Caenorhabditis elegans: one gene and its partner. The protein of the gene in region 1 interacts with the protein of each later gene in a pairwise test. Each region holds a gene or a part of one and is shown in the gene's direction. Other genes may lie near its edges.

Evidence for each region. Proteins that work in one complex are often made in the same cells at the same time.
Region 2: the proteins of set-12 (region 1) and zim-3 interact in a two-hybrid assay, tested with the Caenorhabditis elegans proteins (one large-scale study listed by BioGRID).

Annotation. Positions count from the first base shown.
Region 1 is NC_003284.9:7,732,806-7,737,938, reverse strand, and holds set-12 (SET domain-containing protein), read left to right. Parts: upstream 1-1,667; 5' UTR 1,668-1,790; coding exon 1,791-1,865; intron 1,866-2,390; coding exon 2,391-2,482; intron 2,483-2,982; coding exon 2,983-3,474; intron 3,475-3,726; coding exon 3,727-4,132; intron 4,133-4,180; coding exon 4,181-4,264; intron 4,265-4,310; coding exon 4,311-4,331; 3' UTR 4,332-4,372; intron 4,373-4,511; 3' UTR 4,512-4,605; downstream 4,606-5,133. Other genes in the region: vit-1 (Vitellogenin-1), read right to left, coding at 4,996-5,133.
Region 2 is NC_003282.8:10,556,770-10,561,755, forward strand, and holds zim-3 (C2H2-type domain-containing protein), read left to right. Parts: upstream 1-1,945; 5' UTR 1,946-1,951; coding exon 1,952-2,050; intron 2,051-2,113; coding exon 2,114-2,835; intron 2,836-2,992; coding exon 2,993-3,254; intron 3,255-3,340; coding exon 3,341-3,592; intron 3,593-3,672; coding exon 3,673-3,866; intron 3,867-3,914; coding exon 3,915-3,976; intron 3,977-4,021; coding exon 4,022-4,157; intron 4,158-4,197; coding exon 4,198-4,216; 3' UTR 4,217-4,441; downstream 4,442-4,986. Other genes in the region: zim-2 (C2H2-type domain-containing protein), read left to right, coding at 130-409, 482-742, 834-1,027, 1,079-1,131, 1,179-1,255.

The DNA of each region.
Region 1 (5,133 bases):
TTTCCAATATTCAAAAATTTATGATGGTCACACTGGAACAAAATGCGGTGGATATAAAGAAATAGGAAATTGGTATGTATTAAATAAATAAAAAAAGCATGGAAGTGACAACAATCCAAATGTTTATTAGATAACTCGGCTTGGTATTCTCAATACTATTTTTCAGATTTTCTACCGAACATGTATAATTCAATAAAATTGATGTTGGATTTCCGAAATTTTAGAAATGTATTTTAATTTGCTTAAGTTTTATAATGAACAATTAGGTGTTCAGTTCACAACTTTGGGTTGTTGCGAAATAATTATAAATGCAGACGCAGGCAAAGGTTTTTTTGGCAATGCTTAAGATAAGACGTTTCTAAAGTGCATCTTACTCTGTTTCTCCAGTATAATTATAAGTTTTCTTTTTGATGTTTTTAACATTGGTTTCACGATTTTTGTCGTTGTCATTTTGAAGGTCGTTGCGTTTAGCATAAAACAAAAGAAACATCCATGGTTTTTCTCTCATTCCACTGTTAAAAACATATATGTTTGCGTCAATTTCTGTTTGTTCTGACTTATTCCAAATTGTTCCACAAAATTCAAACTTTTTTGATAAAAATCTCTAAAAATGTGGAAGTGTTCATTTTCTAACCGCGTTGAACATACAAAAAATATATAAGTTATACATTTTTTAAATGAAGAAGGCCCTGTGGAGGTTTTATAAACCTACATTGAAAATGGGTTTCAAGCTGTTTAAATATTTTCTAATCGATCAAAATGTTGGCAAATCACCTAAGTGATGAAAAATGGGTTTAAAAAACTCAAATCGCCTATTGGAACCATGTTTAGGCGGAAAACATAAAAATTGCTAAATTAAAACTAACAATTCGACTTTCTATCATTCACAAACATTCATTTCATCACCTTTTGCTTTCCCGCCGACACCCTTAGAAAGACAACTTTCCTCTTATCCCCAAATGGTTCTCTTTTCTTTATTTTATGACTACCCGCTAGATGATGCACCGTATTATTCGTCAATCCTTGGCACTTAGGAAAAGTTCACGCATCTGTGCGTTATTCTATTGCATTGTCTTCCTGATTTCCCATAAGAAAACTGTAAAACAACGCCAATCTTTGAGTCAACCATTCAAGACTCCCATATGGTATGAATGGTGTGGTCCGTCGATTAGAGTACAGTATTGATTTTTTTCTAGTTAGAAGAATGTCTGGTGTTTGAACGAATAAGTAGTATGTTGTTTTTATTTCGCTGGTTTTAGTTTGTTTTTCATAACATTGTGATGTTAATTTCCAATTATTTTCATTTTAATTTTTGAAGAAAATATCATGATGGTTCAAAATTTTAGAACTTTTCCTGAATATTGCATTCGAGAAACATTTAGAAATGTTCTGCTAATAATGTCTAAGCTTTCATTATTTCTCACTTTAATACCACTTTCACTTTTACATGGTTGTCGTTTTTTTTGTGCTTATTTCAGTTATTTTTCACCTTATTGAGCATTAATTGCTCCAATTGCCGATGCCTTATGGTCCACCGAAAAGAGTACTCCTCTCTCTTTCTATTAGATAGCACTCGATGTCATACCGTCATTTGCGTTTACCTGTTTTACCACATTTCTGTTCGCTCATCTCAAACCTATTTTGTAGGCCTAACCTTTTTATTTCAGAATTCATTGATTGTTAACAACTTTGCTCTCATTTCTTCATCGCATCAATTCTTCGCAAAACCTTTGAGAGTTTGCATTTTAGTTTTTAAAACTGTACAAGACTTCCGTTCCAACACTAGGATAATGCCAGGAACCAGAGCTAGCACAAACAAAAAGACGCAGTTGACCAAGAAAAATAATTCAGTGTTTGTCTACAATGTGAGTTGTTAAGCAAGATTTATTTTGAAAAACTAGCCTTCCATATCCAGACCGTTTTAGTTTACTTCTCACTCAATAATATGCTTATTGTCTAATTTTCTAATTTGTTTCCGACTTTTAATGTTATTATGGCTGAGATTCTTATTGTAAAATATAGATACTTCATGAGATCTGAGCAAAAAACTGATTTGGTTACAAACAAAATATTGATTGAAACGGAAACAGTTTTCTACAAGAAAATACCTTACTTTTTGACAAAATTGACGGAAAATATATGTCAAACAGGTCTAACATACGTGCAAACTTATCAAGCACCTAAATTTTTCATAAAAACATAGCTTTTATATAAAAACAGAACATATCAACTCAAATTATAGTTTTGAAACAAAAAATTCCAACACGTTAAGAGAACCTTGAATTTAAAACTTAAAAATATTAAATAAGACTAGTATGGAAACTATATTATATCAACAATATACACCTTGAATTGACAAATACGAATAATCTGTTGTATAAAAATTTCAGACCGATCCAAAATTTTTCCCGAATACCAGAAGGATGGACTACAGTTTCATTTGCAGTCCGAAAAGAAAAACTGGATTGCTCACAGTGACAAGGTTAGTTTTGTTAAATTTTTTTTGTAAATAAGAAATACAATTGAAGCAATAGAGTTTAGACAGAATCTTGAGTTTAGCACATTTTCCCACAGGTAACCAAAAATCATCGACATTGGTTACATATCAGTTTAAGTCAAAGTAATGTGAGACGAGGAACCAAAAATTACAATAAAAGATGATAATCAAATAAAAGTTAATTTCCAACAGCCGTGACATGGAATGGTTGGCAAAATTTAAGACTTTCGCTAGAATAAACTGAATTTTTTTCGAAATTGTGAACCGTAATAAACTTTTTTTTGTAAAATTTGTGAGAAATTGAGAAATTTCAGTACAATATTCGTGAGCCCATGAGACAAATTTTCGAGTTCAAAATACACAGAGCCGTTAGTCTTTCTTTGAAGTATGCAAAGTTTTGAGAAAATTTTATTTATATCGAAGATTGATTAACTCTTGTCTCGTTGTCTGAATATTCTTATATTCTTTAAGTAAACATTTTTCAGCTGCAAATGCGGCACGGACTGCACCACGGAGGAATGTAGCAATTTCGCAAATCATCGCGAATGTCCCCGAGGATGTTCAAATTGCGAAAATCAAAGATTTCGCAAAAGACAGTTTTGCGGTGTTGAAACTTTCCTCACTGACAATGGCATAGGACATGGGCTCAGAGCAACGGAAGAAATTGCTACTGGCAAGTTAATCCTTGAGTATCGGGGAGAGGCGATAACCAAGGCCGAGCACAATAAACGCGTTAAGCGCTATAAAAAAGATGGAATCAAGCACAGTTATTCGTTTGAAGTGGGAAGAAATTACTATGTGGACCCGACACGCAAAGGGAATTCGGCACGGTTCATCAATCATTCCTGCAATCCAAACGCTTTGGTAAAAGTGTGGACCGTGCCGGATAGACCTATGAAGTCTCTGGGAATTTTTGCATCGAAAGTCATAAAACCAGGAGAAGAGATCACTTTTGACTATGGAACCTCCTTCAGAAAGTAAGTTGACTTTGTAATACTTTGAAAACAATACCCATCTTTTTGGAGTGAGTTTTTAGTATACTTTTTCATTGCGACAAAATACATACTGGCAATGAACTGTAATAAAACAATTTATCAAAATCTTTTGTATTTTTCTTTTTTCTTCCATTTTCCGAACCCCGATAAAAAATCCCAAAATTTTAAATAAATCACAATTTGATTTTGTTATGCTAGACCTTTTTATACTTTACAGAACTTTTAAAATTTTAGTGACCAACCATGTCAATGTGGGGAAGCAGCATGTAGAGGTTGGATTGGAAAACCATCAACATCTGAAGTTCCAAAGGATGTGTCCAAAGAGCTTAAAAAGAGAGGAAGAAAACCGAAAATGGATCCCACAGCACCCATATCAACAACGAGCACAGGAGGTGGAGACAAGGGGAAATTAAGTGGCACAATTCCGGTGCCAAAATCCAGGAGAGGAAGAAAAAGAAAGACCGATGTCACAGCTCCTGTTCCACTAGCCACAAAAACCAAGAGACATAGTCCCCCAGCCGAAAATGAGTCAGAAGACAAAGAAAATGTTAAACCACCAAGCGAAGAAGACATTACCAACGCCATGAATAATCTTTTAAATAAGACATACGATAATCAAAATGGTGTGCTTGATGAATGCGTAAGTAGAAAGATATCAATTTGAAAGCCACTTTTAAATTGTTTTCAGAGAAGCATCATGGGCAATCTGGAGTGTAAAAGTTACGAACACATGGTTCACAAACGAGTGCTTTTTCTACTAGAGAAAAATATGGTATCTTAAATATTTCAATTCGATTTTAAACAGATCAATTTTTCAGGGTCTAAACTCGAGACTGTAGCCACTCGTGGACTTTCAAACGGTTTACATGCTTCACTACAGGTCAGTGGTTACAAAATGAAATGTGGCAGTTGTAAAGAAAAGTAGGAATACAAAAAAACTCGAAATTCTGGAATATTTGAAAACCAATTTTCATTCTAAAAAAACCAATCGACTAAGCATACTTATTGTGTTTTTTCAGAACTGCCAAACTTGCCTTCACAATCCTCATCTTTGCCATTTTATCTTCAGCATGATCAGCATGATTTCTTGTTTTAATTTCATTTTCATAATAATAAAAACCTCCGAAAAAAAATGACAGAGCACTTTACTTGTTTTATTTTCTTTGCAACGTTTTAAATTCTATCAGTTTAGTATATCTTTCTCAAATTCCGAAGATTCGTATCATCAACTTTCACGATTATCGGAAATAAGATTTCAGACACTAACAACTTCTTTTTAAAATGTTAAACTCGATTTATTTTCTGTTACGCCAAAACGTTGAAAAAACCATAAGTAATTTTTGATGTTTCTACCAAATTTCTGCAACTTGATGATGGATATGAAACAGTTTCCAAAAGCTTAAAAATAAACTAATGAAAATTTATTTCTAAACTTGTACTAGAAAGACAATTATTAGCAGAAGTTATAAAATTATGAAAAAAAAGGCCGGCCGAGCTTATGAATTAATAAGCGACGCAAGCAACTGGGACTTGAACTGAGTGGACAAAGGAAATCTTGTGATCATCAAGTTGAACTGTTCCTTGACGAGCCTCCTTCACCAGACGTCTGGCTTCAGAACTGTGACGTGGCAAGCAGGTGAA
Region 2 (4,986 bases), on another chromosome or scaffold:
AAAAAAAAGTTCCATTATTTAAAAAAAACTTTTTTTGGTATCGAAAGGACTAAAGTTATAAATATACTCAAAACTCCTAACGATTCCAATCACCGATAGTTATTTACTTAAGAATTTCGTTATTTTCAGGCCGATTCAAATTTTAAGTCAAACTGTGCGTCCTAATATTGAACATACATTTCCTGTTTCTACATCAGCTATTCAATCAGATGGTTTTTCGTACGAACATCCAATTAATGAATATGGAGATAATGAATCATTTTCATCAGCAAAAAGTCATTGTGATGAGCCCAGTTTTTGTAATGCTGTCGACTTGAAGCCAGTTCTGAAAGTTTTGAATTCTGGAAGAACAGTTTTGACTGGAAGCATTATCAGTGATCAACCTCCAGTCATAGAACTGTCAAGAGATGTAATGTTTAAAAATCGAATTTGAAATAATCACAACTTGTTGAGTTATCCGTTTTCATTAATGAAATTGCAGCATAACATCGAAGGAGTGTTTCAAAATAATTTCGTTGACGTCGAGGATACTATGTTGATTGAAAACTATGAAGAGGTGGGAGCCGAAATCGTTGAAGTAGATGATCAAGATCAGTATGAGGTTATCAGTGAAGATGATGAAAAGGAAAAGAGCCCGATTCCTTCGAAAAATCGAGTTTCATTTGCATTTCCACTTGTTCAAAGTCCCAACAAACAAAAAGAAGAAATGAATAAAGTTCATAACATTAAATGCCATTTTGATGTGAGTTGTTTTGCCGCGTTGTCAGAGAAAAAACTGAATTTCAATAAAAAGTCGCATAGATATAATGTGTTTCAATCAATAATCTTTTCAGAACTGTAATCGAAAAATTCACTGGAAGATTCGTTATGGAAAACTTAGACTGGTCGATCATGCACTATCACATCAAGAGGAAAAATCCATTGACTGCCAGAAATGTGAATATTCATGCCAGACAACTCGACAAATGCGTTATCACTACAAAAAGATTCATGCAAATCTGAAAATGGAAGGCTTCGGAATTCTCAAGTGAGATTTTTTAAAACTAACCGTTTGAAAACTGATAAACCCCTCTTGTAGCATTCCTCTTCAAAATACCAAATTCTCAGATGTATGGAATAAATGTTTTGGAGGTACATTATTCTAATTATTTAGAGATTACATGCTATTCAAATTCCAGATCAACTGAAAACGATCGGACCCGTTAGAAAAGCTGAACGAACTCCTCGTCGAAAACTCAAAAGTATTCGCTTATAGAAAACCAAAATCTCTTCTAGAGTACAAGCGGAAGATGTGAAGATGTTTTTGTAAGCTCCATAACTGCTCATATCACTAATTTCAAATCCAGTTTTAACAGAATTTAATGAGCATCACGACGACACCCTCATGTACAATTATTATCATGTTCTAATTATTTTGTAGTTTTACAGAAATAAAATACAGTGTTTTTTCAGTTAATTGTGTTTTTTTTTTTTGGATTAATCGTTCTTTTGACGAATCAAACATGATATTTTCACAATTATTTAGAGTCAAAAATGTAGTTTTTATAAATGTAAATGTTAAAAATTATTTCAAAAAAAGAAATGCTGTATGCAACAAAATTTAAAAACTAATTGTAAGTAAATACAGTATTATATTTCTTCCTACCGTATACTTTCAAGGCACATTATACTTTTGTCAAAGGTCTCACAACGATCAGGTCTTTCTTCATTTCTAGATTTGTCGGAAGTATTTTGTTTCGTTTCCGCGTTTTAGTTCCTGTTCTTTTTGTATTTTAACCAGTAGATGAATAAAGACTGTTTTAAGCCTGATATTTATCATCATGATAACAAACTTTCAATTTCTTCACTATTCATTGCGATGAATTTATGTAAATAACGGTTGTCGATACGCCTGAGAACATGTTTTTGGACATTTTTTTAATTCTTGATGTTTTCATGGTATATTTTTCAGATGACCTGCGATGACTGGAACAGTTTTATTCAAGTGAACATTTATGGGAAAACTATAGAAGGTCTTCAGCAACAGGGAGTTGTGTTGGAATCTCTTTTGGTTGGTTTGATAAGGAAATTTTATCTTTTGCTATTTGAATTTGAATAGTAGTTATTATTTCAGAACAATATCGGTTGCTCCAAGCTTTGGATTGTGGAGGGCTCAATGTACACGAGCTTAACTAATGAAAGCTCTACATATTCTGAAAGTACAATCGAACCAGTTGTTCCACTAAGTACAACTTTGGCCACTAACAAGCTTCCTCGATTTTCAACTCCTGCTGTCGGCCATTCAAAATATAATTCTGCAAAAAATTTCACATTGAATTTGGCTGAGAAGCTATCGGAGATTCTATCGGATGACGATAAAACTGATAAATGCCTGGAGAACTCTTATCAATCCGAAACTTCCAGGGAAGACGTGATTCAGGATTTGCTCGAAGAAATGGTACAAACTGTTGCCGATGTTGATCAAGCTCCGATTCTTTTGAGCACAACTCTCGCAAACATTGGTGTTCCCCGCTTTTCAACTCCCATCAAACCACAAAATGGTTTGGATCGAAAGTTTACAATGAACATGACAGAAAGAATTTCCGAAATTGATTCGAATTATCAAGGTTATGAATTATTCGAAGATTCCTCCAATGACTGTACCACTTTGATCCCCAACTGTCAGGAGGTCGAATCGTCATTTTATCGAGCACTTCCTGAAGCAGCTAGTTCCATTGTTCCATATCAGGAAGGAAAGAGAAGAAGCTCGAGACGTTTGAGTACTCTGAGTAGTCTCAAAGAAACTGTCAAAATAGAGCCTACAGTTTCAAAGTTAACGAAAAGAAGACGGCTCACGTAAGAATTTTTCTGACGAGAATTCTGACCGTTCGTATAGCGAATTAAGCAACGTTGATATACTTACTCTATTTTCAATTGAAGACAGACCAAACTTCCAATAATGCCAAAAACCAGTAAAATTAAATATATACTTGAGAATTTCATTGTTTTTTAGATCGATTGAAAGCTCAAATGAAACCATGGTGCCACACTCCGAACCAATTCCACTGGATAAAGATGGATTCTCATATGAACAACCAATTAATGAATATGGAGATAATGAATCGTTTTTGTCAGCAAAAAGTCTTTGCACTGAGCCCAGGAGTTCTATTTCTGAGGACGTGAAGCCGGTTTTGAAAGCTACGGATTCAGAAAGAACAGTTTCGATTGGGAATCATATCGTTGATCATCATCCAGTCATAGAACTGTCAACTGAGGTAGGATTGAAGAGATTTCCTTTATTTCTAATTTGTAAATTGTCGCAACATGATGAGATTTTCGTTTTTAATTGAATATTTTGCAGCATAATACCATGGGAGAGTTTCAATATGATTTCGATGATGAGGATACTGTGCTGATCGGAAATTATGAAGAAGTTGGAACAGAAATTGATGAGGCAGAACAGCAGAATGAGGAAAACAGTGAAGATGATGAAGAGGATGAGAGCCCGATTCCTTCGACGAAAAAAGTTTCGTTTGCTGTTCCAGTTGTCCAACGTCTTAACAAGCGAAACGAGCAAATGAATAAAAATCATATTATTAAATGTAATTTCGAAGTAAGTTCCGATCTGAGCCATTTCTTAGGGAGGATGTTCAGGAAATATGACAACATTTAAAAAAAAGAAGCTATTTTCAGGGTTGTAAGCAAATTCTCTCGTGGAAACTTCGATACGGCAAACAACGACTTCTGGATCATGCAATGACTCATGAAAATGAAAAGTGTCTCGTTTGTCGCACATGTGAATACTCTTGCAGTACACATCCCCAAATGAAGTATCACTATCAAAAAATGCATCCAGAAGTGAGGTGTGATGGGTTTAATATTCAGAAGTAAGCCGTCAATTGTTCAATAAATTATATAAAACACGATTATTTCAGAGTGTTCAATATCGAATTTGATGAAGTGGCGATTTTCGATCTTTTCCAAAAGTGCTTCGGAGGTATTAGACAGATATGAAATATTGATATTCAATGTGTAATTACAGCACATTCTTCCATCATCGGAAATATTGGGAAACCGCGGAGATATAAAAAATGTAAAAACTCGCTGAAAAATACTCCAGAAGTCGACAATGAGAATGTAGATAAAGACTCTCCAGGACCATCACACGATCTTTTCTAGTAGGTTTTTCCATATACTTTATTTTATTCTGAAGTTTAGTTTTCGCAGAATTCGCTGATCGTCTTTCGCTACGACTCTGCACAATGTGTTATTTGTCAACTCATGTAACATTTGCAATGTTTTTTAGTAATAGTTTCATTGTTTTGTTTTGTTTTTTGTTTGTTATTGTCGAGATAAACTTATAAAATATGTTTTTCATTAAAAAATAACTTGTTTTGTAAATTTTTTGTCCGCGAGTTTTTCATCTATAATACCTTTTTTGACTATTAAATTCAGTTCTGTATATATGTGATATCACTAAATTTTAATATACCTTCTTAAAGGCACACGGAGTTATTCAGATGGGCATCGAGGCGCAAAAAGTTTATGGTACTTTTCTTTAACTTTTTCGGCTGCTTCATTCCTTTTTTAAAAACATTACTTCGTTTTTTGCTAATTTTCTTATTAACTTTGCATTTTTCTGTTAAATTTTTTTAATATCCTTCTTCGTGTAAAACATGCATTTTTGATCATAAATGTTAATTGTACTATGGAAAAAACTGATCTAAAACAATTTTAAACAGGAAAATGAGTAGAAAACGACAAACTTCGCTAAAAACTAAGTGATTTTTTCTTGAAAATACAAGAAAAGCGTAGCAGCAAAAAATTGAAAAAAAACCTAGGTTTAAACCTATTTACCATACACTTTTTGTGCGGCGAGACCCATCGGAAAAAATACGAGAAGGCTCGTCAATATCTTGTTAAAATATGAAAATTTTCTAATTTCAAAGATGCATGCCAGATTATTATGAAATAACAGATGACATGCATGTAAATGGGTCTTCTGGC